3 linked regions of the Oryctolagus cuniculus genome follow. The protein of the gene in region 3 binds, or shares a complex with, the protein of the main gene of each other region. Links are inferred from orthologs where the notes say so. Each region holds a gene or a part of one and is shown on either strand. Other genes may lie near its edges.

What was found.
Region 1: the proteins of GIGYF1 (region 3) and TNRC6C are in contact, whole or in part, in a crystal structure (PDB 7RUQ), measured with the Homo sapiens proteins. The link is inferred for Oryctolagus cuniculus from reciprocal best matches to the Homo sapiens genes GIGYF1 and TNRC6C. Residues at the interface, in NP_001362694.1 of Homo sapiens: Tyr479, Asp481, Pro482, Gln487, Phe490, Trp498, Tyr503, Phe504, Leu508; in NP_001136112.2 of Homo sapiens: Arg1719, Pro1720, Pro1721, Pro1722, Gly1723, Leu1724, Thr1725.
Region 2: the proteins of GIGYF1 (region 3) and EIF4E2 are in contact, whole or in part, in a crystal structure (PDB 5NVK), measured with the Homo sapiens proteins. The link is inferred for Oryctolagus cuniculus from reciprocal best matches to the Homo sapiens genes GIGYF1 and EIF4E2. Residues at the interface, in NP_001362694.1 of Homo sapiens: Leu36, Ala37, Asp38, Tyr39, Arg40, Tyr41, Gly42, Arg43, Met46, Leu47, Leu49, Tyr50, Glu53, Asn54, Lys55, Val56, Pro57, Glu59, Leu60, Glu64, Phe65, Ala67, Val68, Leu69, Gln70, Asp71, Glu72, Pro73, Leu74, Gln75; in NP_004837.1 of Homo sapiens: His54, Pro55, Leu56, Gln57, Tyr64, Lys83, Gln84, Ile85, Gly86, Val91, Glu92, Trp95, Arg96, Phe97, Tyr98, Ser99, His100, Met101, Val102, Arg103, Leu107, Phe113, Ile137, Arg138, Leu139, Arg140, Gly142, Leu143, Ser145, Arg146.

Annotation. Positions count from the first base shown.
Region 1 is NC_091448.1:3,392,395-3,402,740, reverse strand, and holds the start of TNRC6C (trinucleotide repeat-containing gene 6C protein), read left to right. Parts: upstream 1-4,982; 5' UTR 4,983-5,232; coding exon 5,233-5,300; intron 5,301-10,346. UniProt on the Homo sapiens protein: Plays a role in RNA-mediated gene silencing by micro-RNAs (miRNAs). Required for miRNA-dependent translational repression of complementary mRNAs by argonaute family proteins.
Region 2 is NC_091434.1:6,902,379-6,911,924, forward strand, and holds part of EIF4E2 (eukaryotic translation initiation factor 4E type 2), read right to left. Parts: intron 6,884-9,546; coding exon 6,769-6,883; intron 3,383-6,768; coding exon 3,248-3,382; intron 457-3,247; coding exon 352-456; intron 1-351. UniProt on the Homo sapiens protein: Recognizes and binds the 7-methylguanosine-containing mRNA cap during an early step in the initiation. Acts as a repressor of translation initiation.
Region 3 is NC_091450.1:42,865,029-42,875,212, reverse strand, and holds the start of GIGYF1 (GRB10-interacting GYF protein 1), read left to right. Parts: upstream 1-4,705; 5' UTR 4,706-4,728; intron 4,729-4,744; exon of another isoform or gene 4,745-4,899; intron 4,900-5,269; 5' UTR 5,270-5,316; exon of another isoform or gene 5,317-5,434; intron 5,435-5,456; exon of another isoform or gene 5,457-6,975; 5' UTR 6,976-7,044; intron 7,045-7,910; 5' UTR 7,911-8,139; intron 8,140-8,705; 5' UTR 8,706-8,973; intron 8,974-9,074; exon of another isoform or gene 9,075-9,100; 5' UTR 9,101-9,174; coding exon 9,175-9,209; intron 9,210-9,304; coding exon 9,305-9,434; intron 9,435-10,016; coding exon 10,017-10,112; intron 10,113-10,184. UniProt on the Homo sapiens protein: May act cooperatively with GRB10 to regulate tyrosine kinase receptor signaling. May increase IGF1 receptor phosphorylation under IGF1 stimulation as well as phosphorylation of IRS1 and SHC1.

The sequences.
Region 1 (10,346 bases), on a different chromosome or scaffold from region 3:
CAGCCAGGACTGAAACTGGTGCCAACACTGCAGGCCGAGGCTTAACCTTCTACGCCACAGTGCTGGCCCCTAATTTTATTTCTGAACAGATTTTTTTTTTTTTTTTTGAAAGCATAGTTTCAGAGAGATTGATCTTTCATCCACCAATTCACCAATTCACTCCCCAAATAGCCAAAAGATCTGGGCCTGGCATGGCCAAAGCCAGGGGCCCAAGCACTTGGGCCATCTTCTGCTGCTTTCTAGCAAGGAGATGGATTGGAAGCAGAGCAGCCACGACTGGGCCCAGGGCTCCAGTATGCGAGCGGGAGGTGGCGTACCCCACTGTGCCACGATGCCGGCCCCTAGTGTCTAATTTTAAAATCAGGGGTAATGAAAAGCAGTTCCTTGTCTCAGAGACAGTAGATATTTATTATGATACAGTACAAAGCAGAAAGCCCAACTTGTTAGGTTAAAGGAAGCCAACATTTATTGGCCCCGACTTTGTGTTAGGACGGTGTCTTTGAAGGAGTCGCAGGTTCCTTTGAGAACCCAGAAAGCCTGAGCATAATAAGAAGACATCTTGGTTATATAAAATTTACCTGCAAATAACTTCTCCTTTTCAAATGTTTATACCTTTTATATTGTGTAAATTGCCTTAGAACTTAAACAAGAGGGATAGCTATACAATTTTTTATGAAGCTAGCACAATTATGAAACCAAAAACATGAAAGTGACAGGAAGAAAGCCAGCTTTAGGTTTTTGTCAGATAATGTGAGCGTCTTGGATGATTTGTCAGAAAGTGTGACTCATTGGTACTGATATTTATGAAGTTTATTTCTAAAGAGAGCTGGAGACGAGTGCAGCAGCATATTAAAGCGATAGAGTCTAGACCCAGTGAGTTCATGCTGTTAACGTCCAACACTGTAGTAGACGGAGAAAGAGGATTCCTGAGATTACCCCAGTTGCTATCTGGAAAGTCATCCAGTCAAATTTAGTATTTTTGGACTCCTGCTTCTGGCCAAGCCAGACTGCTGACCAACGCTGTCACCAAGAACTAAAAATTTTAGGAAGATGATTAAAAAAAAAAAAAAGGCAACATTTGAAGACGTTGGATGCCAGCAGGGCTTTAAGGATTTTGAGGGGCCCAGTTCCTGGAGAGAAGGGAGGCTGAAGAGATGGGATCAGCGCTGGTGCACGGGAGCCAGCCGGGGCGTTGCAGCCCAGGCGCTGTGCCGAGGGCTGAGCAGAGAGAGTGGGGCTCTCAGCGGAGTTGGAGAGTTCAGGGGTAACAAAGGGGCAATGACCCCGGTGGGAACGCCCCTCCCCAAGAGGAAGAAACACGACTTTTTGCCCTAGACACATGGTGAACCTAAAGATGATTCTGAAATCCAGCCCTCACAGAAATAGACTTCGTTTTGAATCAGCTGATGCAAATTAAAGCTGGGGGAGGCGTTTGGCACTGCTGCCTGGGAATTCTGCCCCCAGATTGGACTGCTGGCTCCTCCTCCAATTCCAGCTTCCCTCTACTGCACCCTCTGAGGCAGCCAGGGAGGGCCCCACCCCTTGGGCCCCTGCCACCCACGTGAGAGACCCAGATTGAGTTCCTGGCTCCTGGCTTTGGCCTGGCCCAGCCCCGGCAGTTACAGGCATTTTGGCAAGTGAACCAGCAGAGGGGGGAGTCAGGCACTGTGAGCGTCTCTCTCGTGAGCAGCTGGCTTCGCCGGAGGGCTCGTCAGGCACAGGCACAGGCACAGGCGACTCCTCCCTGTCTCTGTGCGTCCACAGGTGACGCAGGGGAGCTCTGTGACACTCTCACTCTCTGTAACTCTGCCTTTCAAATACATGAGTCAGTCTTTAAAAACAAGTCAGTGAAGGCACAGCGGCGAGGTCCAGCCTGCTGTTCAAGACGCCCGTGTCTGGTACCTGAGTGCCTGCTAGCATGACCCGCAGAAGCAGTGGTAGTGGCTCAAGTGGTTCGGACCCCGCCATGCACGTGGGACACCTGGGCTGAGGCCCCCTCTGTGCTTCAGCCCAGTCCTGCATGTTGTACTGTGGAGGACGGGTCACTCTACGACTGTGTGTCTGTCTCTCTGTCTCTCTCTCTCTCCACACCTCTCAAATTAAAAAAATAAAAAAATAACCACCTTTGCTGGCTAACAAATCTGTGTTCAGATGACTGCTGTGGTTTCTAATTCTTGACTACTACGATTGCTAAGACTCCTCCTAACAACAATATTTATCTACTTAAATATTACCCTCTAGGTCCAGGCCAACTGAATAAGACAGATGTGTGGGTTTTCCATTTGCTGTATGACGGGTCACCACAACCTTGGAGATTCAAAAAGCAGATAATGTTAGTCCACAGTCTGCAGGCCGGAGGCTGGCGTGGGGTGACTGGGTGTCTGTCTGTGACGCTGAACAGCCGGGGTCAAGGTGTGAGCAGGCTCTGTGGAAGAATCAGCTTCCCAGCTTGTTTGCAGACCCCAGCTCTTGGCCGGCTGCCGGTGGAGCGGCTCTCAGCGCCTTGACGCAGCTGCGCTCCGTGCTTCCTGCTCGTCGTCTCCAAACCAGCAGCTGTGTGCCCACGCTTTCTTAGGCTTCAGCTTTCGAGACCATCTCTCTCCGACCTCTAAGCTGAGATTTAAGGTCACCAAGCCTACCTGGATGGTGTATCTGACTTGGGATTTGAGTTACATATTTTAAAATACCTTCAAAACAGTACCTGAATTTGTTTGATTGAATATGCGGGAGAGGGTATGTTGACTGTGGACTTGGACTCTTGGAGGGGTCTTAGAATTGTGCCTGCTGGGGCCTGGCGCTGTGATGTCGCGGGTAAAGCTGCTGCCTGGGACTCTGCTGCCCCACGTGGGGTGTTCCTGCTGCTCCAGTTCCAATCCGTCTCCCTGATAATGGCCTGGGAAGCAATGGAAGATGGCCCATGTATTGGGACCTGTGCACCCACATGGGAAACGCAGATAAAACTCCTGGCTCCTGACTTCAGCTTGGCCCTGAGCTGGCCATTGTGGCCATCTGGGGAGTAAACCAGCAAATGGAAGATTCTCTCTCTCTCTCTGTAACTCTGACTTTCAAAATAAATGAATAAATCTTAAAGGGGGGGGGGGGGGCAGCACTGTAGCGCAATGGGTGAACACCCTGGCCTGAAGTACTGGTATCCCACATGGGTGCTGTTCGAGACCCGGCTGCTCTACTTCTGATCCAGCTCCCTGCTGTGGCCTGGGAAAGCAGAAGATGGCTCAAGTCCTCAGGCCCCTGCACCCACGTGGGAGACCCAGATGGAGCTCCTGGCTCCTGCCTCTAGCCTGGTCCAGCCCTGGCTGTTGGGTGCATGTGGGGAGCGAACCAGCAGATGGAAGATCTTTCTCTGTTTCTCTTCCTCTCTGTCACTCTTTCAAGTAAATAAATAGATAAATCTTTTAAAAATTAATTTGTAGGTTTAAAACAATTATAATTTTTAAAAACATTTTTTCTTTTAGAACAAATAATGACTCATTTCATCCAGAAGGGTGAGGACAATCGGGAGAAAACTTTTGAGGTGATGAAAGGAAACTGGTGGTGGCAGAATTCTGAGACTTCAATGCTTGAAGCTTCTTCCAGGTCTCCCACGTGGGTGCAGGGGCCCAAGGACTTGGGCCATCCTCCACTGCTTTCCCAGGCCATAGCAGAGAGCTGGATTGGAAGAGGAGCAGCCGGACTCCACTGGTGCCCATATAGGATGCCGGTGCTGCAGGGGGAAGATTAGCCCATGACACCATAGCGCCAGCCCTGAATATTAAATTTTATAAAAATAATTATTTCAGGGGCCGGTGCCATGGCTCACTTGGTTAATCCTCCACCTGCGGTGCTGGCATCCCATATGGGTGCCGGATTCTAATCTAGGCTGCTCCTCTTCCAGTCCAGCTCTCTGCTGTGGCCTGAAACACATTTCGCACGTTTTACATCTCCAGAATTGCTGTTTGCCTTACATCCAGTGGGATGCGTATAGCAGGGCGTGATCGGCAGCATTTCTTTCTTAGTGATGCACAGAAGCACTGTGCGTCGTCTGTCTGAGGCGTCTTAGGTTGGGTAGAATGCAGTGCTTTGTAGCAGGTCCACCTGGAAGGGCCGCTGTGTAGCTGTGCCGCGCCGTCGTCCTGCAGGAATGGAGGTCCTTCTGCGGCTGCGTAGGCAGTTGGTGCCGCCTTCTCCTTTGAGAAGCCCTACCCAAGTGCTTCTGGTCATGCTCCGTGGAGTCCAAGCTTATGTATCATTCGGTCACCTAACACACAAGCTCAGATGTGTGTGTATACGCATCGCTTTGTTTCAGAAGAGTCACCCTGTATTGGGGACGTCTGCAGAAGCGGGCCGGTGCCCCGGCCCAGAGTCGCCATTAGCCCCAGAACGCATCCTCATCTTCCTGCGGGAAGAAGCTTCACTGAGTGCATCTGGAGCCCTCTCCCAGCCTCCCTGTGTGGGGCCGTGGGTGAGGGAAGACCCTGCAGACCTCCCAGATCCCTGTGTGGGGCCGTGGGTGTGAGGGAGACCCTGCAGACCTCCCAGCCTCCCTGTGTGGGGCCGTGGGTGTGAGGGAGACCCTGCAGACCTCCCAGCCTCCCTGTGTGGGGCCGTGGGTGTGAGGGAGACCCTGCAGACCTCCCAGCCTCCCTGTGTGGGGCCGTGGGTGTGAGGGAGACCCTGCAGACCTCCCAGCCTCCCTGTGTGGGGCCGTGGGTGTGAGGGAAGACCCTGCAGACCTCCCAGCCTCCCTGTGTGGGGCCGTGGGTGTGAGGGAGACCCTGCAGACCTCCCAGCCTCCCTGTGTGGGGCCGTGGGTGTGAGGGAGACCCTGCAGACCTCCCAGCCTCCCTGTGTGGGGCCGTGGGTGTGAGGGAGACCCTGCAGACCTCCCAGCCTCCCTGTGTGGGGCCGTGGGTGAGGGAAGACCCTGCAGACCTCCCAGCCTCCCTGTGTGGGGCCGTGGGTGAGGGAAGACCTTGCAGACCTCCCAGCCTCCCTGTGTGGGGCCGTGGGCGTGAGGAAGAACCTGCAGACCTTCCAGCCGTGGACTGGAGAGGCGGGAGGGCGGCCGGCGGGAGGGCGCTTAAGCCACCAGCTGAGATGTACTCGTTCCATCCGAGTGTCTGGACTCGAGCCCCAGCTCTGCCCCGCTTCTGTCTTGCTGCTGACGCACACCCTTCGAGGAGCAGATGACGGCTCAGGTCGTTGGGTTCCTGCCACTCATGTGAGAGACCTGGAATGAGTGTTAGATGCCCAGCTCCAGCCCAGCCCTGGCCCTTACAGGCATTCGGGGAGGGAGCCAGCAGGTAGGAGCGCTCTTGTATCTGTCTGTCTCCCCCCATCCTACTCCCTCCCTCCCTCCCTCCCTTTCAAATAAATAAAAGTAAAATGTAAAAGAAATTTAAAGGCTTTTTAAAATATGTATTTGTTTATTTGAGAAGCAGAGTTACAGAGGGAGAGACAGAGAGGTCTTCCATCCGCTGGTTCACTCCCCAAATGGCTGCAACAACTGGAGCTGGGCCAATGCAAAGCCAGGAGCCAGGAGCTCCTTCCCGGTCTCCCACGCAGGTACAGGGTCCAAGCACTTGGGCCATCTTCTGCTCTTCCAAGCCACTAGGGAGCTGGATTGAAGGCGGAGCAGCCATATGGGATGCTGGTGCCACAGCCCCGGCCCCAAGAGCATGCACTCTTTGGGGGTGCTGTGCAGTATGGCGGATGCGGTGAGTGACATTTGACTGACAGTTCAGTCACTGTGTGAGCACATGTGGCCTTGAAGGCTCAGGTGGTGTCCATTCCAACAAGGTTGCTTTGAGGAGTGACTGAGATCATGGATCTCAATGATCTGCACAGCCCAGTGCCTAGTAAGTTACAGTTCTTGCTGCCCTTGGGTTTTCCAGAGACTGCGTAACTCGATGCTGGCTGCTTGCTTGTGTGTGTTTCCACTGGAACTTGGTATTTATGGAGGATTCTTTGATTGTCTAAGTTTTGTCTTTGGATTAAGCAAGACCATCAGAAACCTTCACACTTGGACTGTCTCTGGCTGTCCAGAGAACTGCTGAGTTTTCCCATCGGGCTTTTTGACTCGCAGGAGGCTGCGAGAGCGCGTCTAGTAAAGCCGCCACTGCAGATTTGAGGGCCTCAGCGTCGCTGTCTGGGCAAGAGCGCGTCGCCTGTGCATCCGCCGCTCTGAGGACGGAGGCTGTCGTGAGGGTGATCTGGTAAACTGCTAGTTGCTTCCCCGATAGGGCAGATTGTAAGTCAGTGCCCTACACGTATGAACCCGTTACTAGACCTGATTCTGCTCAAGTCTTGGGAGAGGTAAACTCTAGGTGTAATATTGTAAGAAATCAGGGTAGGCATTGTGGCGTAGTGGCTAAGCTGCTGCTTGGAGAGCCTGGGTCAAGCCCCGGCTCCTCTCGTTCCCACCCGGCTCCCGGCTGATGCGCCCTGGGAGGCAGCAGTGAGGGCGCAAGCACTTGGGCCCCTGCCCCCACGTGGCAGACACAGATGGGGTTCATGGCTGCTGGCTTCAGCCTGGCCCAGCCCTGCTGTTGCCACCATCGGAGGAGTAAGCCAGAGATGGAAAGTCGATCAACTGATCTCTCTCTCTCTCTCTCTCTGCCTTTAAATAAAATGAAAACAAATAAAAATTTAGAAAACAAATCAATCAAAATGATGGCAGTTAGCAGGATGTACTTTATGACAGTCTTAGGAAACATTTGCTTTTTGAAATTGGTGCCTGGACATGGGGCATGCAGTACATACAGCCTACACACTGTGAGTATTACAGTTGTTCAAAGGGGCCGGTGCTGTGGCGTAGCGGGTAAAGCCGCCGCCTGCAGTGCCAGCATCCCATATGGTGCCGGTTCGAGTCCCGGCTGCTCCACTTCCCATCCAGCTCTCTGCTGTGGCCTGGGAAAGCAGTGGAAGATGGTGCAAGTTCTTGGGCCCCTGCACCTGCGTGGGAGACCCGGAAGAAGCTCCTGGCTTTGGATCAGCGCAGCTCCAGCCATTGTGGCCAACTGGGGAGTGAACCAGTGAATTGGAAGACCCCTCTGTCTCTCTCTCTGTCTCTGTCTCTCTCTCTCTGCCTCTTCTCTCTCTGTGTAACTCTGACTTTAAAATAAATAAATAATTTTTTTTTAAAAAACAAGTTGTTAAAAGGCGGGAAGTAGCTTAAAAAGTAGAAAGGGCAGTTTGTGACTCTAAAGGGGCGGGATGGGGGGGGGGGTTCCGCGGCCCAGCGGTTGGTGTGCTGTTCCTGATTGCTGAGGGAGGGGCTAGCTCCTGAGCCTAATTGTGTCATAACAGTGCAGCCCATAACAGCATAACAGGACACTTTTCTCTAATCAAGTAGTTCCTCCAGGATTTCTGTCGGGACTTTTTTTTTCTTTTTTTGCAATCTAAACTTGGTATAGGTTTGAAAATAAAATTTTTCTATAATTTGTATTTTTCAGATAAGTTTTCTTCCTCAATGCTGAAATAAGAGTTTTCATATTTCACATTTTTATGAGACATATCAACAAACCTCTTAGTATCTGTGTGTTTTTCCTGCAACAATATAATTTGTCAAATTTTTTTCTATTTAGGTCAACATTTGAGTGCTTTATCAGCTTATTACTCTAATATGTACATTTTTTTAAAAAGATTGATTTATTTATTTGAAAGGCAAGGTGATAGGCAAAGAGTCAACCATCTGCTGGTTCACTCCCCAAACACCCACAACAGCCAGGGCTGGCAAGCCAGAGCCAGGAGCTCCACCTGGATCTCCCCTGGGTGGCAGGAACCCAACTACTTGGGCAGTTGTCTGCACTCCCAGTTGCATTAGCATAAAACTGAATGGAAGGTGGAGGTAGGGCTCAAACCCAGGCACTCTGATGTGGAATGCAGGCATCCCAGATCACTACACACCCCGGCACCTCAGCACGAACCCTTGAAGCGGCCTCTCCCCTTATCCTTGCGTGAAACCCCGGGCTTCACAGATGTCTTGGGGCCAAGGGGCGAGTGGATGATGGTGTCAGGAGGCTCTGCCCAGCCCTGGCACACATGCCTGTTCTACATTAGATCGCAGCTTTGGGCACGCGTTAGCGTAGTGGCTCCTGGAGCTGAGCCCACTCCGCTGACCGTGCTTCCAGCTCGCAGAATCACAGAGACTGAAGGAAGCGTGAGAGACCCTCTGCAGCCCAGCTCTCACCCTGCTGGGCCCCAGGCCCTTCCCTCACCTCAGGGGCTAGTCACTGCTCAGCGTGCATGCTGCTGGCACGCAGTCCTTTTTCCTTCATGACCATCTCTCGAGTTGCCCCAGTACTCTAAAGCTGGTGGAATGTAAAGCTGTTGTGAAGGTAAAAGAAAGTACTGTTGGGGCCGGCACTGTGGTGCAGCAGGCAGAGCTGCCGCCTGCAGCGTCGGCATCCCACGTGGGCGCCGGTTCAAGTCCCAGCTGCTCCACTTCCGATCCAGCTCCCTGCTGTGGCCTGGGAAAGCAATAGAGGATGGTCCAAGTTCTTGGGCCCCTGCACCCACGTGGGAGACCTGGAGGAGGCTGCTGGCTCCTGGCTTTGGATTGGCTCAGCTCTAGCCATTGTGGCCATTTGGGGAGTGAACCAGCAGATGGAAGACCTATCTCATTCCCTACCTCTCTCTGTAACTGTCTTTCAAATAAAAAAAAAATCTTAAAAAAAAAAAAAACAAACATCATTTGTGGGCCATACAAAATCACCAGTTTGAAGACTGGCCTGTTGGAGATTTGATGAATTCTGAGTCCCACCTGCAGCTGCCGTGGCAGGGCCAGGCCAGGTGATTAGCGGGCCGTGTGTAGCTGTGACGTTCCCCGCCCCTCAGGCACATCTATGAATTGTATTTATGCTTGTGTGACAGTATTAAGCAGTCTCCATTTTACTGGCAGATTTGAAAGAGGCTCTAATGTTAGTGTCCTCACGCAGGAGAGCGAGCCTGTGCAGTAGTGAGAATGGGGAGAGTTTGCTACGAAGAATCCCTGGAGTGGGCATTTGGCACAGCCATTAAGAGGCCGCTTGGGATGCCTGCATCCCCAACACAGTGCCTAGGTTCAAGCTTCGTCGTCTTCTTTTTTTTTTTTTTTAATTAATTAATTTATTTGAAAGAGTTACAAAGAGAGAGAGAGAGATCTTCCATCTCCCCAATTGGCCACTCCGCAATTGGCCACAACGGCTAGAGCTGAGCCATTCTTGAAGCCAGGAGCCGGAAGCTTCTTCCAGGTCTCCCACGTGGGTGCAGGGGCCCAAGCACTTGGGTCATCTTCCACTGCTTTCCCAGGCCACAGCAGAGATCTGGATTGGAAGTGGAGTAGCCGGGTCTCGAACCTGCGCCCATATGGGATGCCGGCGCTTCAGGCCAGGGCTTTGACCCACTGCACCACAGCGCCAGCCCCAGAACTTCTGCTTCTAATCCAGCTTCCTGCTGCAGCACAACCTGGGAGGCGCAGGCAATGCTCAATTACCTGGGTCCCTGCCGCCCACATGGGAGACCAGCCTGAGCCCCAGCTCCTGGCTTTGGCCTGGCCCGGCCCTGGCTGTTGACCGGCATTTGAGGAGTGAACCAGTGGGTGGGGGATCTCTGACTCTGTCTCTGTCCATCTGACTCTCTCCATGTCTGTCCCTCTGCCCTGATGAATCAAACAATAAATGTGTAAATGATTGTTTTAATTATTAACTGTAACAAGGACTTAGAGTAATAAGGGACTGGTTAGTGAGAAGCAAAGGAAACAGGAGATTATAGCAATAGCAGAAATAAGGTGCATTCCTGCCCAGGCCCAGAGGGAGCACCCAAAGACAGCCTCCAAGGCTAAGGCCCGGGCCGCACGGGAGCCGCCACAGCCGTGGCTCAGGGGGCGGCAGGGAAGCTGCTGTGGTGCTGTGTAGACAGAGCTCGCTGGGAACCCTTCAGCTGTAGTGGAAGTGTCCAGCCAGGTGCCACCTGCCCAGGCCTGCCTGGCCCAAAAACCCTTCTCCTGCATGCCTCTCCAGTGCCCTCTGCTGAGAGAGCAGTGTGCTGGCAAGCAAAAATTGTTAAAGGTCTTAGGTGGATTTTACAGAACTGGTAAACCGTGAAGTCTGGCGCCAAGAGGCAGTAAATCAATAAGCAGCGCCCCTCCGCCACCTCCAGCTTCATCAGTTGCTGCAAGTGGACACTGAGGGGGAAACAGTGCACTGCCTGCTTTCACATTCTGTAGCGAAGAATGGAATCTTCGTCACTGTCAACCACTCGGCGTGTCCACTAGGACAGCCGTGTCTGTGCCATGGAGTGGCCACAAGGATAACTGTGTCTGTGCCACAGCATGTCCACGAGAACAGCTGTGTCTGTGCCACGGTGTG
Region 2 (9,546 bases), on a different chromosome or scaffold from region 3:
GCCTCCCACCGGAGCGCAGCCCACAGGTGCTCTACGGAGGTCACCGAGCTCAGCTCCAGGACTCCAGGGTCACACGTATACTATGTAAAAATACTACACACAAACAAGTGAGTTTAATGGGACTAAGGGTAACACAGTGTTAATAACACCATTTTAGAGCGGCAACAATCGTTACAAACCTCCCTGTACCAACCCACAGATAAGCAGTGGCGCCTGCGCAGGCTCCCAGGATCCAGCTAACTGTAACGCAGCTTTGGGAAAAGACCTGAAGATACTTCTAACTGTGGTAGGGGGAAAACAAAGGAAAAATAAACTTGCTCAGAAAAGCAGGGCGAGGCCCGCAGTCCTCACCTCCCACATGGGTTTAATTCCTTCTTTGAAGAGATGGAAGTCACTGTGGCCCGTCAGGTCCCCGGGTCGCACCATGTGGCTGTAAAACCTCCAGAACTGCTCCACCTGCAGAGAGAGGACCCCAGAGAACAAAAGATGTATCTTTTCTTTCTCTGACTGTATTCAAGGCTGCAGGTTTACTGCACAACAGGACCATGAAGACACTTTGCCTCTGATTCTTTTCAAAGGATACACTTTCATTTAGGGCCTGTGTAGAAAGGAAGGCACATTAGAGGAAAAGCTAGCAGATAGTTGCATTTGTAAAAACCAAAACATTGGCAACAGAAAAACTAACTCCTTGGGTGAGAAACGGGGCCTCAGTGGTCTGCATTCTTCCACTGCAGCTGCAGGAGACGCCTCACACTGGCAAGGGGGCCAGTTTAAGGCACAGTGGACACCCCTGAAGCAGTCAGGCCTCAGCCTGAATGCGTCTTTTCAGAACCAAATCACTGTTTGATCAAAGATTTAAAAAAAAAATTATGTATTTGAAAGGCAGACAGAGAGAGATTTCTTTCGAAAGTCCTACCTGAAATCAAATAAATGCTTATAGTCCAATAAAGAGATCAGAAACTATCTCAACTACTATTTTTCATTTTATCACTGAAAAGGCGGCTTCAGGCCTTGATCCGGCCCACGGAACCCAGCATCAGAGTAGATGAGAGCCTGTAACCCCTCCTAGTCCTCTGCTGTTTCAGGATACTGCTTGCTTAGTCATGCTGGCTTCAAGAATGTCAAAATGTTGTCAAAGATTAGAACCAAGGACCACTGGGAAATACTACTTTGTATCTGACAACACATTTCACAATGTAATTACTTCTCTGCGGGCAATTGAATATAATGAGCCATTTCCTAAAGCGCTTAATAACACGACAGCAGATCCAAGCACTCGGTCACACTTCCAGTGAGTCCTGAAGAAGTGTTCACCCAGGAAGGCGTGCCTGATCAATCTCCCAGTTTAACATATGAGCTTAAAGGAAAGACCATAACACCCTCCATGTACAAATTGGGTAAATTCATGTTTTTTTTTTTTTTTTTTTTTTTTTTGACAGAGTGGACAGTGAGAGAGAAACAGAGAGAAAGGTCTTCCTTTGCCGTTGGTTCACCCTCCAATGGCTGCCGCGGCCAGCGCACCGCGCTGATCCAAAGGCAGGAGCCAGGTACTTATCCTGGTCTCCCATGGGGTGCAGGGCCCAAGCACTTGGGCCATCCTCCACTGCACTCCCTGGCCACAGCAGAGAGCTGGCCTGGAAGAGGGGCAACCGGGACAGAATCTGGCGCCCCAACCGGGACTAGAACCCGGTGTGCCGGCGCCGCAAGGCGGAGGATTAGCCTAGTGAGCCGCGGCACCGGCCCTGGGTTTTTTTTTTTTTTTTTACAAGAGAGAAATGAGAATGTTGGACATATTTATATTTATTCTAAAATAATTTAACAGGGTTCTTAATGAAAATGTACTTCTCAGTCCAGTCTCGTCTCTGATTCCTCAAGCGGTTAACAGTCACTCAGAACACAATGAATGAATGTCATTTTCGTGTTCTATCATTCCCACAGAACAGGAAATCAAAATTTGTTTCTTTTTTATTTTTAGTTCACTGTTGTTCAGGCAATTAAAACTTCTGTAATGCATTCCGGAATGTTAGAAGTGTGTATTTCCAAAGTTAGAATTTTCTTCTCGTCACCTGTTCAGATTCTTTAAATTCAATCTCAAACCCACCTCCTCCAAGGCGGCTCCAGTTTTAAAAATGCTGGTGACATGCCGACTACATTTATTTTCCACTGATCGAACATCAGATGTCCATATTTAACTGGTAATCAGATCACCTGCTTAGTGTGAGACCCACAGCACTACAAGACCAACTTGGCAGAATTTCAGCCCAAGGCGGGGATCTCATTTGGTTGGCCTGAACAGCCTTCTCATTAATAAATGCAGGCTTTCTCTGAAATATCACAAACAGCTCGTGCATGGTGCCTGTTTTGTATTCTGGTGCATGGTAAGGGCTTTGGAAGCTGACAACCAAGCCTGGCTCCCTAACTAGCCCAAGCGAATTACGGCTGATCTGAGACTTTAGACATGGAGGCCCCGCCTCAGGTTCCTCATTTGTAAAACTGACCTCATGGGGCAGCAAAATGAAGAAAACCACACAGGTGAAACGCCTGTGGCTGCTACCCTCTCTTCACCAGTTCACTGCAATGGTTACTGCCTATGGCAGTGCTCTCCTTCAAGATAAATGCCTCAGTCATTTCCAGAAAGCGACAAATCCTGCACTTGACTCTGCCCAGAGAGGGAGTGCACGGCACACAGCAGCACATACGGACCCTGGCCGAACACGCCTGGTGTCAGCTGCGGTCAGCTTCCTGGGACACACAAGTCTTGTCACCCAGGAGGGGGATGAGACGAAGCCTGGGCCTTCTGTGCCCATGGCACCCACAGAAGCAGTGACCGGAGGTTTCATTTTCTTTTTAAAACAAAGGAAAAGTTGTGGCCAAAACCCTAATGAGAGGTTCTTAAATACAAAGGAAACTTGAAACTTTGCTTCTGACTTTACCATGCAACTCTACGAAGATGGACACCACGTGTAACGACCACAGGACACTCTGCATGTCCTAAGGACTCAATAAATACGTACTTAAAAGACAGAAAGATAAAACTGTACTTTTCTGTTATGCCTTTCTGATCAATACCACCTACTAACTCTGGATGTCAAATACGACATCTCAGAGGGAACACATCTGCCGCTGGGGGCTCGGTCAGCGAGTTAGAAAGCAGCACCTTACACGGGTCACCAAGAGGGCGAGCACCCAGCGCGACGGGCACGGCCGAGCGGACGCCGAGGCCCGCCCTGGCCCACTAGGTACTCACAGAGGCGAAGGTGCCGATCTGTTTGATGTTCTGTTCGTAGCTCTGGGAGCTGGTGGGGCGGCCCGGGGTCCTCCTGGAGTACCAGAACGTGTAGTTGTATTGCAGGGGGTGCTCTGCCGGTCCAGGGACAACAGCCTGGGGAGCAGAGGTCTGTCAGCCCTGGTCTGCCACATGCTCCGAGTCAGAGACTTCACAGCACACCCTCACCGCTTCCACAGCGGAGAGGACAAAACACCAAGCACGAGCACACGCCCAGGCGCCTGCTTACACAGTGAGCTCCCACTCTCCGCCCCGCACTGCTGGGGTGGCTTCTGTGACTTTCTACCTCATCTCACAGCTATCTGTTTGCATCTTATCTTTTTGTTTGTTTTTGACAGGCAGAGTGCACAGTGAGAGAGAGAGAGAGACAAAGAAAGGTCTTCCTTTGCCGTTGGTTCACCCTCCAATGGCTGCCGCGGCCAGCGCGCTGCGGCCGGCGCATCTCGCTGATCCGAAGCCAGGAGCCAGGTGCTTCTCCTGGTCTCCCATGGGGTGCAGGGCACAAGCACTTGGGCCATCCTCCACTGCACTCCCTGGCCACAGCAGAGAGCTGGCCTGGAAGAGGGGCAACCGGGAGAGAATCCGGCGCCCTGACCGGGACTAGAACCCGGTGTGCTGGCGCCGCAAGGCAGAGGATTAGCCTGTTGAGCCGCGGCGCCGGCCTTGCATCTTATCTTAACCTATGTCCAGTCTAGCACTGCTTCTTCTATGACGCTCTTTATCACTTATTAGTGGCAAGATGCTTTACCTGTTAGTACCTCACCTGTTGCTTTTTTTTCAGATTTATTTATTTGAAAGACAGAGAGAATGAGGGAGGGAGGAAGGGGGAGGGGGGAGAGGGAGGGGGGGAGAGAGAGAGAGAGAGAGAGAGATAGGATCTTCCACCCACTGATTCACTCCCAAATGGCTACAACAGCCAGGACTGAGCCAGGCTGAAGCCAGAAGCCAGCAGTTTCTTCCATGTCTCCCAGGTGGGTGCAGGGTCCCAGGCACTGGGGCCATCCTCTGCTGCTTTCCCAGGCGCTTTAGCAGGGAGCTGGGTCGACAGTGGGGCTGGGAGGTACTGGAGCACCGGTGCTGCAGGCAGGGGCTTTAAGACGCCAAGCCACAGCGTTGACCCCTGTATCTCAGCTTCTTACTTGCAAAATGAGGAAAACCGCCACCACTCCACAGGGCTGCTGGCAGGACATCAGAGGCCTAGCTAGAGCCTAGCACTGAGGAGGAGCTCAGTTAAGTGTCAGCCACTATTAGAAATGCTCATATCGAATCTTAATGAAGAATGGGATGGGAGAGGGAGTACGAGATGGGATGGTTTGCGGGTGAGAGGGTGGTTATGCGGGGGAAGAACCGCTGCTAGAATCCAAAAGTTATACTTTCAGAATTTGTATTTACTAAATAAAAGTTTTCTATTAAAAAAATTTTTTTGAAATAAAAAAAAAGCAAGCAAGCAATGCTCATATCAAACGTGAGCCCTGGGGCGGGTGTTTATCCTGGCAGTTCAGATGATTACAGCCCACGCCCAAGTGCCTGGGTTGAGACGCAGCTCCTGACTACAGGTTCCTGCTAACAGGGACCCTGGGAAGCAGCAGTGAAGGCCCAAGGGACTGGGCTCCTGCCACCCAGTTAGGAGCCCTGGCCCGAGTTCCTAGCTGCTGGCACCACTCCAGTTGTTCTAGGCACTTGAGGAGTGAATTAGTTTGCCTCTCTCTTCCTAAAAAACAAAACAAAACAAAAAGCAAAAGTAAATAAATGAACGCAAGTTCTGGGGCCACTGCTGTGGCATAGCAGGTAAGGCCGCTGCCTGCCGCGCCGGTATCCCATACGGATGCTGATTCAAGTCCTGGCTGCTCCTCTTCCAATCCAGCTCCCTGCTAATGTGCTTGGGAAAGTAGTAGAGGATGGCCCAAGTGTTTGGGTCCCTGAGCCCACGTGGGAGACCTGGAAGAAGCTCCCGCATTGCGGCCATTTGGGGAGGGAACCAGCAGATGGAAGATCTCTCTTTCTCTGACTCTCCCTCTTTCTGTAACTCTGTCTTTAAAATAAATAATAAAAATAAATCTTTTTTTAAAAACAAGCGGTGCAGCACTGTGGCACGGGGGGTAAAGCTGCTGCCTGCAGCTCCAGCATCTCACACGGGTAGCGGTGTGAGTCCTGGCTACTCCACTGTTGATCCAGCTACTGCACTGTTGGCCTGAAAACGTGGTGGAGGGTGGCCCAAGTGTTTAGGCCCCTGTACCCACATGGGAGACCTGGAGGAAGCTCCTGGCTCCTGGCTCCTGGCTCCAGCCTAGCTCAGGCCCGGCTGCTGTCACTATTTGGGGAGTGAACCAGTGGACGGAAGACCTCTCTTCTCCCACCTGTGGGGAGCAACTGGGAGCAACTCGGACTAGACTAAGTTACTCGAATTAAGACTTATTCTATGCATCTGCTCTCCCACAATATGGCGCTGGGAGAGGAGGAACCAGCTTCTACACAGCTGCCTCTCACCAACTTGACAAGCTGCAGGACCTGCTCCTGATTGGAGGAGAGCAGTGTACTCGGCGTGTGGGTAGCAGAGTTGGGATTGGTGGAAGAGGACTATAAAGGAGGAGAGAGACAACATGCACCAGGAACATCTAAGGGGGACACCTGTGCAGCCCCCGAGAGAGCCGGCCAGCGGTGTACCGCTCCCCCGCGGAAGTGGGGAATGTGGCAGGGGGAACCGCCCTTCCACGGAGGTGGAAGGGTCAGTAGCCAACCCGGGAAGAACCAGCAGCCAACCCGGGAAGGACCAGCAGCCAACCTGGGAAGAACCAGCAGCAAACCCGGGGAGGGCCGAGCAGACGAAAGAACAGCGCAGGGTCCTGTGTCGTTCCTCCATGAAGAGGGGGAGCAACATAATGGTGCCGTGACTCGGATATGAAGCCTAGGCAGGGCTTAGTGTCGTTCCTCCACGAAGAGGGGGAGCGACACGCACCCCTTCTACCCCCATCTCTCTGCGACTTTGCCTTTCAAATAAACACATCTTATTAAAAAGAAATGAAAGTTCCTTGACCCACAGTCTAATTCACGTTTGTGTCTTCTCAGCACCTAGCATAAAATGCTACCCCTCGGAGGGAACTCAATAATGCAGAATAAATGAATTAGTGACTATTTTTTATTTCAAGGAAAAAAAACGGATCCATCTGTCATTCTCTGCATTTTCTCTTTTGCAAGTGAAATGTCAACATAGACCATCACTGACTGCAGGGGTCAAACTTTCACGGGCTGTGCAGGACCATGAAGCAGCCACCGGCCTTGTTAACTCCCAGGCCAGGAGAAGGCGACACCTAAGATCCTATGTCAACCAAGAAATCCTAACCCCAAAATGAGCCCCCAGGCCTCTACAATCCTTTCATGAGAACAAAAGCAGGTATCCCAACACAGGGTGCTGTTAAGTTCACCTGCCCCTCCCAGACGCAGCCTGCAGCACGCAGGAAGCCGCGTCTGGCGGCGTCACCCACCTTCCTCTTGCTGCCGCCCTGGCTCTTCTCGCGCTCGGCTTTTTCCTTCTCACCATCTTTCTGTGTGCTGTTTTCTTCATTTTGATCGTGGTCCCCGCTGTCATCGTCTTTCAGGCTGAAGGGAAAGCAAACACCGCCGTTCACAACTAGGCTGACTCTTGCTTCCCTACCAAGCCAGCTACCGCAGCCACGCTGAACTCACTCAGGGTACAGCCCCGAGAGCCCTGCGAGGTGAGAGGGACAAGGGAGTGCGCAGGCAAACCAGGAAGGTGGAACAAGAATGAGCTGTGACCCCCAGGAAGCGCGCTCTGCGTTCTAACAAGCCACAAAGAGCGCTTAAAGGGAGTAACGGAAACAGTTCTAGGGGTTGCTTTCTGCACCAGGAATGAGCAGAATTTCTGACTAGACCACTGCTTTGGCATTTCAGATGGAAGCTGGAAACTTACCCACAGACTGCCCCTTTTCCCCATCCCTCCGCACTGCCATGCGCAGGTTCAGGCCTCTTCTCTGTGAATGCCCTCACCCCAGTCTTCGCTCCCTCTACCCTCTGTGTCGTCACCATCACCAGCATGGTCCTTCTGAGTGCACATCTGGCTAACCTCTGTCCTTACCTCTGTTTCAGCTGCCTCTCACCCCTGATGCCTGCCCTTCAGGACAGAGGTAAAGAAACGCAAGTGCGGCTGGCTGACACTCCCAGCCCTGCAGCCTGCACGCCCACACGGTGCGTCCGCACACGCCCCCTCAGCCTGGAGGCCAGTGCGCTCGCTCCACTAGATGGAGGGTTCCGCGCAGCAGTGTCTCACTTCATCTCAGGATGACCAACACGTAAGGGCCAGAAGATGCGGCCCTAACACACAGCCAAGAAGATGCCGAGTGAGCGTCAGAGTAAAGGGAAAAATAAATGCCTGAAACAACAAATTCGAGTGTTCTCGCTTCACAGCACGGAGTCTGACCTGTTGTAAGGGCCACCTCTCAGGAGTGGTGAAACCAAGACTTTCAGGTACACCTAAAGTGCACCAGATCCAGAGAAAATAAAAGGAAGGTGCGGCCACAGAGCAGGGAGAATGTCGTTTATTGCCGAGCTGGGCCTCTAACTCATCATGGGTCCTATTCCAAATCCTCTTTTGGACGCATGATTATATACACAGACAAATGGGATTAGGCAATTCTCAAGAAAGAGACCAGAAATGCCCAATTATAACTTAGGTACATGCTACACAGATACAGAAACATGCTGTGGAATATTTTCTATTTGCGGCTCGGTTTTTGCCCATGAATCTCAAGCACCTAGCACCCATGAAGCACCCATTCCACATCATCAGAGCACCTGGGTCCAAGCCCCGCCCCCCCGCCGTTCCGAGCCACATTCCCGCTAACGTGCACCTAGCAAGGCAGCAGGTGACGCCGCAAGTACTTGGGTCCCTGCCCCCCACATGGGAGACCTGATGGGAGTTCTAGGCTTCTGGTTCAGCCTATGCCAGGTCTGGCTGCTTCTGGCATTTGGGGGAGTGAACCAGCAGACAGACGATCCTCCTGCCTGCCCCCATGCTGCTCTAAATGAATGAAAATTTAGGAAAATATTAGAATGGATGAGACAGACATGTGTTTGGGCACCCGCTCTGCCCATTTTAGTCTTTGCTGTGGACACACGCAGGTGTCCACGCCCCATTTCCACCTCGGCCGAGACGCGGCCAGGAAGGTTACCAGACTAAAGGGCATTCCAGCCTGGCCAATAACCTATGTCAGGGCCTTGCTAGAAAGAACATGAGTAGATCCCTCGCTCAGCATTTCATCTGCAAGGAGAGATGACAGATTCAGGAGCTGCAGCAGCCAGATGGACCCCATTCAGGCAGAGCCATGAGGGACTCAGACAAGGAGCAAAAGCAGAGAAAGCCAGCAGGACGCACCAAGGAAGGGTGAGGGGAGTTTGACTGTGCGGCTATTGCTACCGTCGCTCCGGCCCAGGTCAGCCTCACTGCACTGCTGGGAGACCATTATCTGCACTCACATACACCCTCTCCCTTTAGTAAACTTAGGAGTTGGTTCGGTTTCCTCTTCAAAAGAGAGTCCGCCCACAGAGAGCTACACAGAGTAAAAACGACCACTACGTACCAAGCATCTACTGTCTATCAGCTACCCAAGTCACGTCCCCAGGGACCCAGGTGAGCAGACCCAGGTGTGCCTCAGCCTGGTGCAGCCCTGCTCTGTCCCGTCCTCTCAACTTCACCTCCTGCCTGGTCCCAGTAGCTCCTTGTAGTCCAGCTGCATCAACGCAATCGCAGTTCCCCAAACTCACCCCTCCACGTCCATCACGCGGTCTCTCCAAGAAGCCCTTCTCCCTCTAGTTACCTTGGCCTTCAGCACGCAGCCCGAGGCCATCTCTTTTGAACACTTCTGAAGGCCTCCCAGGTTAGGCTAAGTCAGGCTCGCCTCTTCTGGACGTCCCACAGCAACGTCTGCACTTGTCCTGGCTATATGGTCACGGCGGTCACGGCCAGTTTGTAAGCAGGCCAAGTTTAAAGCACACACCTGACAGAGCAGGTGGGCGTCTCAGGGAAGAACTGAGAGCGCTGTCTGCTTCAGGCTGGAGTCTGAGAGCCCTGGGTGCCGCCCACTTCCCCCTTCCTCTTCTCGCGGTCAGTTCTGTGCCAAGAACATCTCGTGCGTCTTTCTACTGCTCAGGCCCAAGACGGCTCCCAAGGCTCTTCTCTAGGGCACACCCCAGGGACGCCACCACGGTCTTCTCTCGTCAGCTGCCGGGCTTCCTCCTTCAGCCCG
Region 3 (10,184 bases):
CCTTTTGCCGTTGGTTCACCCTCCAATGGCCGCCGCGGCCGGCGCGCTGCGGCAGGCGCACCGCGCTGATCCGAAGCCAGGAGCCAGGTGCTTTTCCTGGTCTCCCATTGGGTGCAGGGCCCAAGCACCTGGGCCATCCTCCACTGCACTCCCTGGCCACAGCAGAGGGCTGGCCTGGAAGAGGGGCAACCGGGACAGAATCCGGCGCCCCGACCGGGACTAGAACCCGGTGTGCCGGTGCCGCTAGGCGGAGGATTAGCCTATTGAGCCGCGGCGCCGGCCCGTTTTGACAAATGTAAAAATGGTCCGGTGGGCAGAGGATGGTCTTTTCAACCAGTGTCCACACTGGCAAACAGGCAAAAGAAACTAACCTCGGTCCTCTGTGGACAAGAAATAAATAATAGGAGATGGATGGTAATCTAAGTAGCAAAAGCTGAAGCTGTAAAGCTATTAGGAGAAAATGTAGGGAACAATCTTCATGACGTAGGGTCAGGCAGGGGGCTCCTGGAAATTGTCCCAAAAACAAAATCCATTCAGGGAAAATTGAGAAATTGGACTTTAACAAAATTTAAAAACTGGCTCTGTGAAACATGTTAATAGGATGAAAAGGGAAGCCATGCACGGGGAGAAAATGTTTGCAAATCACTTAGGCAGCAAAGGACTTGTATCCAGAATATATAAAGAACTCTCTATGCTCAAGAAGTCGGCCACAGACAACCCAATTAGAAAATGTGCATAGGCCGGCTCACTAGGCTAATCCTCCGCCTTGTGGCGCCAGCACTCTGGGTTCTAGTCCCGGTCGGGGCGCCGGATTCTGTCCTGGTTGCCCCTCTTCCAGGCCAGCTCTCTGCTGTGGCCAGGGAGTGCAGTGGAGGATGGCCCAAGTGCTTGGGCCCTGCACCCCATGGGAGACCAGGAAAAGCACCTGGCTCCTGGCTTCGGATCAGCGCGATGCGCTGGCCGCAGCGCACCAGCCATGGCGGCCATTGGAGGGTGAACCAACAGCAAAAGGAAGACCTTTGTCTCTGTCTCTCTCTCACTGTCCACTCTGCCTGTCAAAAAAAAAAAAAAAAAAAAAAGGAAAAAAAAAGAAAATGTGCAGAAGTCTTAAAAAATTAATTTATTTGAAACGCAGAGATACAGAGAGAAAATGGGAGAGACACACACAGAGAAGTCTTCCATCTGCTGTTTCAGTCTCCAAATGGCCACAATGGCCAGGGCTGTGATGATCTGAAGCCAGGAGCTTCCTCTGGGTCTCCCACGTGGGTGCAGGGGCCCAAGGACTTGGGCCATCTTCTGCTGCTTTCCCAGGCCACAGCAGAGAGCTGGATGGGAAGTGGAGCAGCTGGGTCTCCATCTGGCGTTGAATAGGGATGCTGGCACTGCAGGCGGAGTCTTTACCAGCTACGCTACAGGGATGGCCCCAGGTCAGAAGCCTTGAGTAGATACATCAGGAGAAGGGGGGGTGGGTAACGATGGGGCTAAAACAAGCGCATCTCAAGATGTCAGTTCCGGGGCAGGCGTGTGGCCGCATGAAGTCAAATGTGTTCCCGTATCAGAGAGCAGGTTCCAGTTCCAGCCACCCAGCCTCTGATCCAGCTTCCTGCTAATGCATCCTGGGAAGGCAGCAGAGGACCGGCACAACTGCTTCAGTCCCTGCCACCCACGTGGGAGTTCCAGAGGGAACTCCAGGCTCTTAGCTTCAGCCTGGCCCCTTGCTAGCTGTTGTAGCGACTTAGGGAATGAACTAGCAGGTGGAAGATAGCACTTCCTCGCGCTCTCTCTCTCTCTTTCTCCTCTCCCCCTCCCTCGATCACTCTGCCTTTCAAGTAGATGAAAATAGATACACATTAAAATTAAAAGCTGTACAACTGCATCAGCCTTTAAGGAACTGTGCACGAAGACCAGGAGGAAGCAGCACCACCGCCTCCCCAGAGTGGCTAAGATACAAAGTATCCACAACTCGAGTGTGGGAAGCAGGCAGGCAGCCTGGCGCTTGCACACAGGGCTTGTGGACCTGAACCATGGAGCAGGTATTCCGGAAAACGGCTTGGCAAGTTCTTCTTTGTTTAAGATTTATTTATTTATTTTAGAGGCAGAGCTACAGACACGGACAGGGAGAGACACAGAGAGCGTGAGGTCTTCCATCTGCTGGTTCACTCCCCAAATGGCCACAACAACCGGAGTTGGGCCAATCCAAAGCCAGGAGCTTCTTCTGGGTCTCCCACGCGGGAGCAGGGGCCCAAGGACTTGGGCCATCTTCTACTGCTTTCCCAGGCCATAGCAGAGAGCTGGATCAGAAGTGGAGCAGCCGGGGCTCGAACTGGCCACCTATGTGGGATGCTGGCATTGCAGGTGAAGGCTTAGCCTACTAGGCCACACACTGACCCCTGCAGTTTCTTCTAAAATGAGACAGACACCATATGACTCGGGAAAAAGCACCCCCGGACATTTAAAAACCTGCACAGTGGTGGCCATCCACAGTTTTCTTTGCAATAGCTCCAGGCTGGAAACAAGGCAGAGGTCTTTCCGTGCAGGAATTGGTAAACCACGGAATGTCCACACCACGGAATACTGGACAGCAATGCGGGCTGGGTTAGGGATGCCTGTTGTGAACACTGGTTATGTCAGCTTTTATTTTAGTTTTATTATTATTAATTATTTGACAGGCAAAGACACAGAGGGAAAGGGAGAGACAGAGAGAGAGTGGTCTCCCATCCACTGGTTACTCCCCCAGATGGCCACAAGGCCAGGAGCCAGGGGTCTCCCATGTGCATGGCAAGTACCTAACAACTGATTTCCCCAAGAATACCCCTCTTCCGATGCTTTCTTTCCCGGATGCATTAGCAGGGAGTTGGATCGGAAGCAGAGCAGGTGGGACTCGAACCAGGGCTCCGACACGCAATGCCAGTGTCGCGAGCCGCGTTCTAGCCCACAGAGCCAGCCCCTAGGGCCGCTAAGCAGGACAGCAGGACCTGCGCCTAGATGCAGGGGCATGCACGGGATTCCGCGAACACGCCGCCCCCTTGCGGGGGTGGGAGGAACAGCCTAGGGTTTCCAGAGGTAGCGAGGACTCAGCCGAGAATGTCTGACCGCGGAGCCCACGTCCTGGAACGGGGAGGGGGCGCGTGTTGAAGCCCTGAACCCCGGGAGGGCAGGCGGAGACCAGCACAGCCTGAGTGGCAGGAGGAAACCCTGGGAGATCTGGCTCCTGGAGCGAGCAGCGAGCGGCTGCGACACGGGCTGCCCGTGGGTGATAAATTCATGATGATGGGCAGGTGCACTTAGCAAGCCGGGGGCCAGTGCTGACTTGCCAAGGGGGTCTATTTGCTCCACCAAAGAACCCAGCTTGTGGCAGGGAGCAATTCTGCACGCACGCAGTTAACGTGAAGGCCCATCCTGTGTCATCATTAACAACAAGCCCGGTTAATGAACAATCTTCAGGATGCCTAAAATATGCCTTAAAAATCTTTGCTGTCCAGGGGTGGGCGCTGCGGCCACATCGGAGCGCGGGTTTGAGTCCCTGCTAGCCCCCCACCTCTGATCCAGCTCCCTGCCAATGCACCTGGGAAGGCAGCAGGTGGCGGCCCAAGTACTCGGGGGTGGGAGACCCAGATGGAGTTCCCGGCTGCTGGCTCCAGCCTGTCCAGCCCCCTTGGCTGCTGTGGCCATTCAGGGAGTGGCTGTGGCATAACGGGTTAAGCTGCAGCCTGCAGCACCATCATCCCACAGACACCTACGGTATCGGCTGCGCCACTTCTGATCCAGCTCCCTGCTAATGCACCTGCGAAAGCAGAGGAAGATGGCCCAAGTGCTTGGGCCCCTGCACCCACGTGGGGGACCCAGAGGAAGCTCTTGGCTTCAGTCTGGCACAATCCTGGCTCCCGTGGCCATCTGGGGGAGTGAAACAGCAGATGGAAGACTCTAACTCTGCCTTTCAAATAAATAAATATATGTATATATATATATATATATATAATTTTTTTTTAAGGCAACGGAACTGTAAGAGGCGACGACAGCGGTCAGAAACTCCAGGTGTCACCAGCCAGCGGGGCCTCGGGCCGTTTCTAGATCGGCAGGGGTTTTGCTCATTTCCTATATCCCACGAGTTCATCAGAACAGTGTTGCACTTTGTCTCCTCCTCCAATCCAGGAGGGCTGCTTGGAGGAAGCCGGCCGGCCAGAAGAAACCCGGGATGCCCCTCACAGGCCGCAGCTGCCATCCCCAGGGGCGCGGGTCACGTGCCGCGGGGGCGCGCGCAGGCAGCACCCCGGGGACACCCCTTCCCCGGCCTGCAGCCGGGGGCCCCGCGTCACGTGACGAGCCGGGCACCCGGGTCACGTGCCGGGGGTGGCGGTGTGAGGCTAGACTCGGGGGCGGCGGGCGTCCGGGCTGCGCCCCGGCGGGCACGCGGGGAAAGCCAGAGGCCCGGGGGTGCGGGTCCGAGCGGGCCCCGGCCGCGGCGGGCGGCGGCGGGCGGCGGCGGCGGCGGAGGGGGCGGCCCCGCGTCCGCGTCACGTGGTGCGAGGCGGGCAGCCATCTTGCTACAAACACAAACAGAGAGGAGCGGCCGCCGCGGGAGCGCCAGCGCCCCCTCCCCCGCCGCCGCCGCCGCCGCCGCCGCCGCCGCCGCCCCCCGGCCCGCCGCGCGCCGCCGCCCGCCGCTCGCCGCCCGCCGCGCGCCGCCAACGCCCCAGGACCGAGCCCTCGCGCCGCCCGCCGGCCGCGGTAAGCGCTCGGCGGCTCCGCGGACCCCGGCCCGCAGCCGGCCCCGGGGCAGGCCCGCCCCCGACGCCGCGGCGGCCGCGCCGAGCCAGCGGGAGCCGGAGCCAGCGCGCGGGCCGCCGGCACGGACTCTCCCCGTCTCCTCCCGGAGGCCGCCGCCGCCTCCGCCGCCCGGTGCGTCCGCCCTCCGCCCCTCCCCGCCGCGGGACCCTCCCCCGGAGCGGGCCCGCCTCGGCGCGGGCTCGGGGTGGGGGGGCGGCCGGCGCCCCTCCCTGAAGGGCACGCCGTCCTCCCGGCCCGGCCCGCGCCGCCCACCCGCGCGCTGCTAACGGTCGCCCCTGCGGAGCCCTGCCCGGGCCCCTCCCGCCCGCGGGGCCCCTGCCCCGGGCCCGCGCGCCCCGGGCCCCGCGGGGCGTCCAGGGCGGGCGCTCCACGACTCGGGCCGACCTGGAAGGCTCCCCCGCCGCCCGTGCCCCCGCGGTGCCCCGACGGTGCAGCAGCGCCCCGGGCGCTCACACTTTGCCTTTTCCTCGCGTAACTTTAGGGAGACCCTCGCCCCTGGTCGTCCCTGGAGTTGCCACCAGCGTCCAGGTCAGCGGCATCCCGGTGCGGGCGCGGCCGAATAAATACTTGCTGGCCGGATCCTCCCTCCAGTCACCCCAGTCTCGCTCCGCTCTTGCTTCTCCAAGCGCGGCTTTCCCGAGCACCGGTCAGCGCCACTGCCCCTCCCGGCTGACAGCTGGCCGCGGCGCCGGCCCCCACCCCCCCTTTGCTGCCGACCTGTGGGAGTTTGGGCCATGACTCCTGCCCCCTCCACCCCAGCTGCCCGGGTTCTGTGGGTCCTGGTCCCCCCACTTGGGGAGAGTTCAGGGCAGAGCTGCCTGGAGCCCCCGGGGACCTCGGGGGTCCGCTGGGGCGGTGATAATCAGGTGCGGGGGTGTGTGCCTGGGCTGCTGGCCACACACGCGTTGGTGCCGCGTGTGACACGGTGCTCAGGGGCCCTGGTGTACGTCGGGATGGAGTTTGGGAAAAGGAAAAGTAGCCCCACTCTGAAGGAGAGAGCGCGGGGAGAAGAGGAAGGCTGTGGGAGGGCTTTGAAAAGTCTAGCAAGAAATGTAAGCATGGCTCAAGCTCTCCGAGCGGGGGGCCAGCGGGGGAGTTTGGGACGGCCCCTGGCCCGGTGCACACCTGCCCCAGCCTCAGATGCTGGGTACCTGGTCCCAGCCCCCGTGCCCTCCCTTGTTGTCCCTGGCTGAGCAAGTGGGCAGAAGGGATCAGATGAGGTCAAGTGTGACAGTGGCTCAGAAGTTAACAGGCCCACGATTGCCAAGGGCTGTTGCTGTTGGGCGGGATGGCTCGGCCGGGAGGAACCCTCACCCCACCCCTCGTGGAGAATCTGCATCCCTAGGCAGGACCAGGTCACCTCCAGGCAGGTGTGGGGCTGTGCCGAGGCCGGAGGCTGCTGGAGGGAGTCACCAGACGCTGTTCTTAGCCTAGCCCAGCGCTCCAGGTCCATGCAGCCTGGGGGGAGCGCCTGGGACCAGGGTGCGTCCTCTCACCTCTCCAGTAGGGGGCAGCAGTGAGGAGCTAGGGGAGCAAAGGTACACTGAGGCAGGAGAGAGAGGACCAGGGAGGGGGCACACAGCTCGGACATAGGCCAAGTGCAGGGCCAGGAGGAGTGTGGCAGGCCAAGGTGGGCTTTGAGCAGCCTGCAGGAGAGAGACGGACGTGGTCCTGCCCACCCCCACCTGCCACCTCTCCCCTCTGCTTTGGTGGTAAGGGATCCAGCTGCTTGGGCCGCAGAGTTTGTGATAAGCAAACTTGGGACCTTCGAAGGTTTGCCTCCTGGCAGGATTTCAGATTCCTCTCGGGACAGCTGTGCAGAGGGAAGATGGGGGGAGGGTCACATCTGCTTTCTCTTCCATTAGGGCTGCGAACCCACAGGGCTTCTTTGCCCCCCTTACAGTCACTGCCCACATTGGGGCCAGAAACGCCTTTGTCAGGGGCTGCTCCGTGCACCCTGGTCCCCTGCCCGTCTGTTCCCCTCTGCTCAGGTGCCACCGCCCTGAGTGGCAGTCCCCTGGGGAGCAGAGGCAGCCCCCCCCCAGAAGTACCCTGCTCCCCTAGTCCTGTTAGTGTGAGGAGGGGGCGGCCCCTTTCCTGCCTTGCCCTCTCTGTCCCCGGGTCTCCCCCAAGGCGTGGGTGGGTTGGGCGTTTGCCCCAGTCTGAGCCACTCCCCTCCACTTCCAGCGGGACAGAGAGGACAGGACACGGGCCACCGAGGAGCCCTGTCTGCACCGCTCCCTGGCAGGCGGGAGGGTGAGTCACCCCTTTTTCTGCTCTCTCGGCTTCTGCCTGGCAGCCTGGCCCGGCCCCTGAGACCCGTGTCTGGCCCTCTAAGGCTGAGCTTGTGTGAGGGATGGGGCTGGTTTTTCCTGGAGTGGAGAAGCCTCGGGTCTCAGTACTTTTCCCCTGAAAGCTTTCTCTCTGGTGGTGAAATACGTGTAACTTGAGCTGCGTTTGTTTTAAAGATTTGTTTATTCGTTTACTTGAAAAAGCCACAGAGATCCTCCATCCACTGGTTCACTCCCAGGTAGCTGCCCCGTCCGTCCGGGGCTGGGTCAGGCCCAAGGCCAGCTCGCAACTCCTGGTCTCCCACGCGCATGCAGGGGCTCAGGCACTTGGACCATCTTCCGCTGCTTTCCCAGGCCATAGCAGGGGGCTGCATGGGAAGTGGAGCTGCCGGGACTCGAACTGGCGCTCCAGTGTGGGGTGCTGGTGTCACAGGTGGCAGTTTAGCAGTTTAGTCTACAGCAGCACAGCGCGGGCCCGTGAGCCACGGTTAGGCAAGCTCTCTGCAGCTTCGGTGCAGCCAGCACCGCCATTGTCCCCAGCGCTTCCTGCCCCCCGCACCCACCGTGTGCTGTGCCTCTGTGTGCCTGCCTTGCCTGGGAGCCTTGCCCACGAGCAGGCCTGCTGTGGCTGCCCCCTCGTGCCTGGAGGGTCTCAGCGTCCCGGCCTCCACTGCACCGCGCAGGAGGCCGTGGGGTACTTGGCCTCTCTGCTGGCTTTGTGTGCTGTGTGCCCTGAAGGGAGACGTTCCCCTGCCCCGGGGGCCGCCACTCCAGGGGCCAGCGTCTCTTCCCGGGCCCCTCCAGAGGGAACCCACTTCTCTTCCTCCCCAGGCTGTGGCGTCCTGGAGTGCATGGTGCAGGCAGAGACAGGCAGCTCCAGCCTCCCTCCCAGCCAGTGACGGAAGCCCCTGCGCCTGCCCCGACGCCTCCCCACTGCCCCCAGAGTCCTGTGCTCGGTCCACCAGGGATGCACCTCCTCCTGGGGGTCTCCCCTGTCCTTTAGAGGAGCCGGTCACTGCCTCCCGTCAGCCTCTGACCGTGACCTTCTCTCTGGTTTATGGTGAGGAATCCCTTGTCGCTATTGCTCTAAGAACTGTGCCCCCTCGGCTTTTTTGGTCGACTGACCCTGACGTGGGGCCGGGGGCCTGGGTCTGTCTGCCTGCCTGCTTGGTGATCCGGCCCGCCATGCACTGGGCCAGGCCAGCAGCCTGCAGCGAGTGCCCCTGCGTTGGTCCTGGGCAGCCTCCTTTCTGACAGCGTCCGTCAACTCCAGCCTCCAGGCAGCCCATCCGGATTCCTTTCAAGAGACAAGTCATTTTGCTCCCAAATTCCACCACTGGCCTCCTCTCCCTGGGATATTTGTGGCTCCAGTGGGGTTTTCGTTTGCTTGTTCTTATCTTTGCCCTGATGTCCACCTTGATCTTGGTTACGTCTGTTCCTAAACTCTGTGCCCTGCCCTGTCTGGACCTCCCACTGGGAGTGCAGAGGAGCTGGTGCACACTGGGCACCCAGGGGCCTGCGCGTGTGCTGGGCAGTGTGGGCCTCCGGTTTATGCAGGGTAGAGGAGGGCGGGGGCAGGGAGGCTGTGGGCCCCCGTCCCTCTCAGCACCTGCCTCTCTCCTCAAGGACTCTTCCCAGATGTGAGGGTCCCTCCCGGACACTGCTGAGGCCAGATAGATAGCCAGTGGCTTGAGGACCCGAGTTCACTCCAGTGCCGGCCCTTTCCGGAGAGAGCCCAGCCCTGCCCTCCCGCTGCCCAGGGGCAAGGCCGCCGGGGGAGGCTGGGCCCAGGCAGCACGGCTGTGACCACCAAAGGCCTCCAGCCCCCAGGTCTTGCCCACCTGAACTCTTCTCGGGTTAACTCATGGTGTGTGCAGCCACGTGGCTGGTGTAGGTGAGTCCTTTCAGAAGCTGGGTGACCCAGCCCAGCCCGAAGCCTGTCCCTGTGCCCGCGGGGCCGGTCGCCCACGATGCAGGTTTCTCCGCTGTCCCCAGGGTCCGGCCTTCTCTGTGCTCCACAGGTGTTTGGAGCGTGAAGCCCGGGTCCTTGCTCGTCACTCACCCCTGACCTCCAGGAGCCACGCCCAGCCTCAGCATGGCGGCGGAGACGCTCAACTTCGGGCCCGAGTGGTGGGTCAAGTGTGCGGTGGCGGGCGTGGGGGGGCCAGGAGGAGAGCACGGCGCCCCAGCCTCGTCCTCCTCTGCCCCCCCCCCACCTGTTCCAGGCTCAGGGCCCTTTCCAGCGGCGGCAGTGTGGCCTCCCCGCCCGCCTCCCCTGCCATGCCCAAGTACAAGCTGGCTGACTACCGCTACGGGCGTGAGGAGATGCTGGCCCTCTATGTCAAGGAGAACAAGGTGGGGGCTGGGGGGCGTTGCTGTGGCTCCACTGCTCGTGGCCTGGGGCAGCTGGAGAACAAGGTGGGGGCTGGGGGGTTGCTGTGGCTCCACTGCTCGTGGCCTGGGGCAGCTGGAGAACAAGGTGGGGGCTGGGGGGGGGTTGCTGTGGCTCCACTGCTCGTGGCCTGGGGCAGCTGGAGAACAAGGTGAGGGCTGGGGGGGTTGCTGTGGCTCCACTGCTCATGGCCGGGGGCAGCTGGAGAACAAGGTGGGGGCTGGGGGGGTTGCTGTGGCTCCACTGCTCATGGCCGGGGGCAGCTGGAGAACAAGGTGGGGGCTGGGGGGGTTGCTGTGGCTCCACTGCTCATGGCCGGGGGCAGCTGGAGAACAAGGTGGGGGCTGGGGGGGTTGCTGTGGCTCCACTGCTCATGGCCGGGGGCAGCTGGAGAACAAGGTGGGGGCTGGGGGGCGTTGCTGTGGCTCCACTGCTCGTGGCCTGGGGCAGCTGGAGAACAAGGTGGGGGCTGGGGGGGTTGCTGTGGCTCCACTGCTCGTGGCCAGGGGCAGCTGGCGCCGTGACCCACCAGCCCCATCCGGCAGGTCCCTGAGGAGCTGCAGGACAAGGAGTTCGCTGCGGTGCTGCAGGAGGAGCCGCTGCAGCCGCTGGCCCTGGAGCCCCTGACGGAGGAGGAGCAGGTGGGCGGGGCTGCGGTGGGGGTGTGGGAGGACAGGCGGGGCGGCGGGGCGCCTGGGTCCTCATTCCCGCCC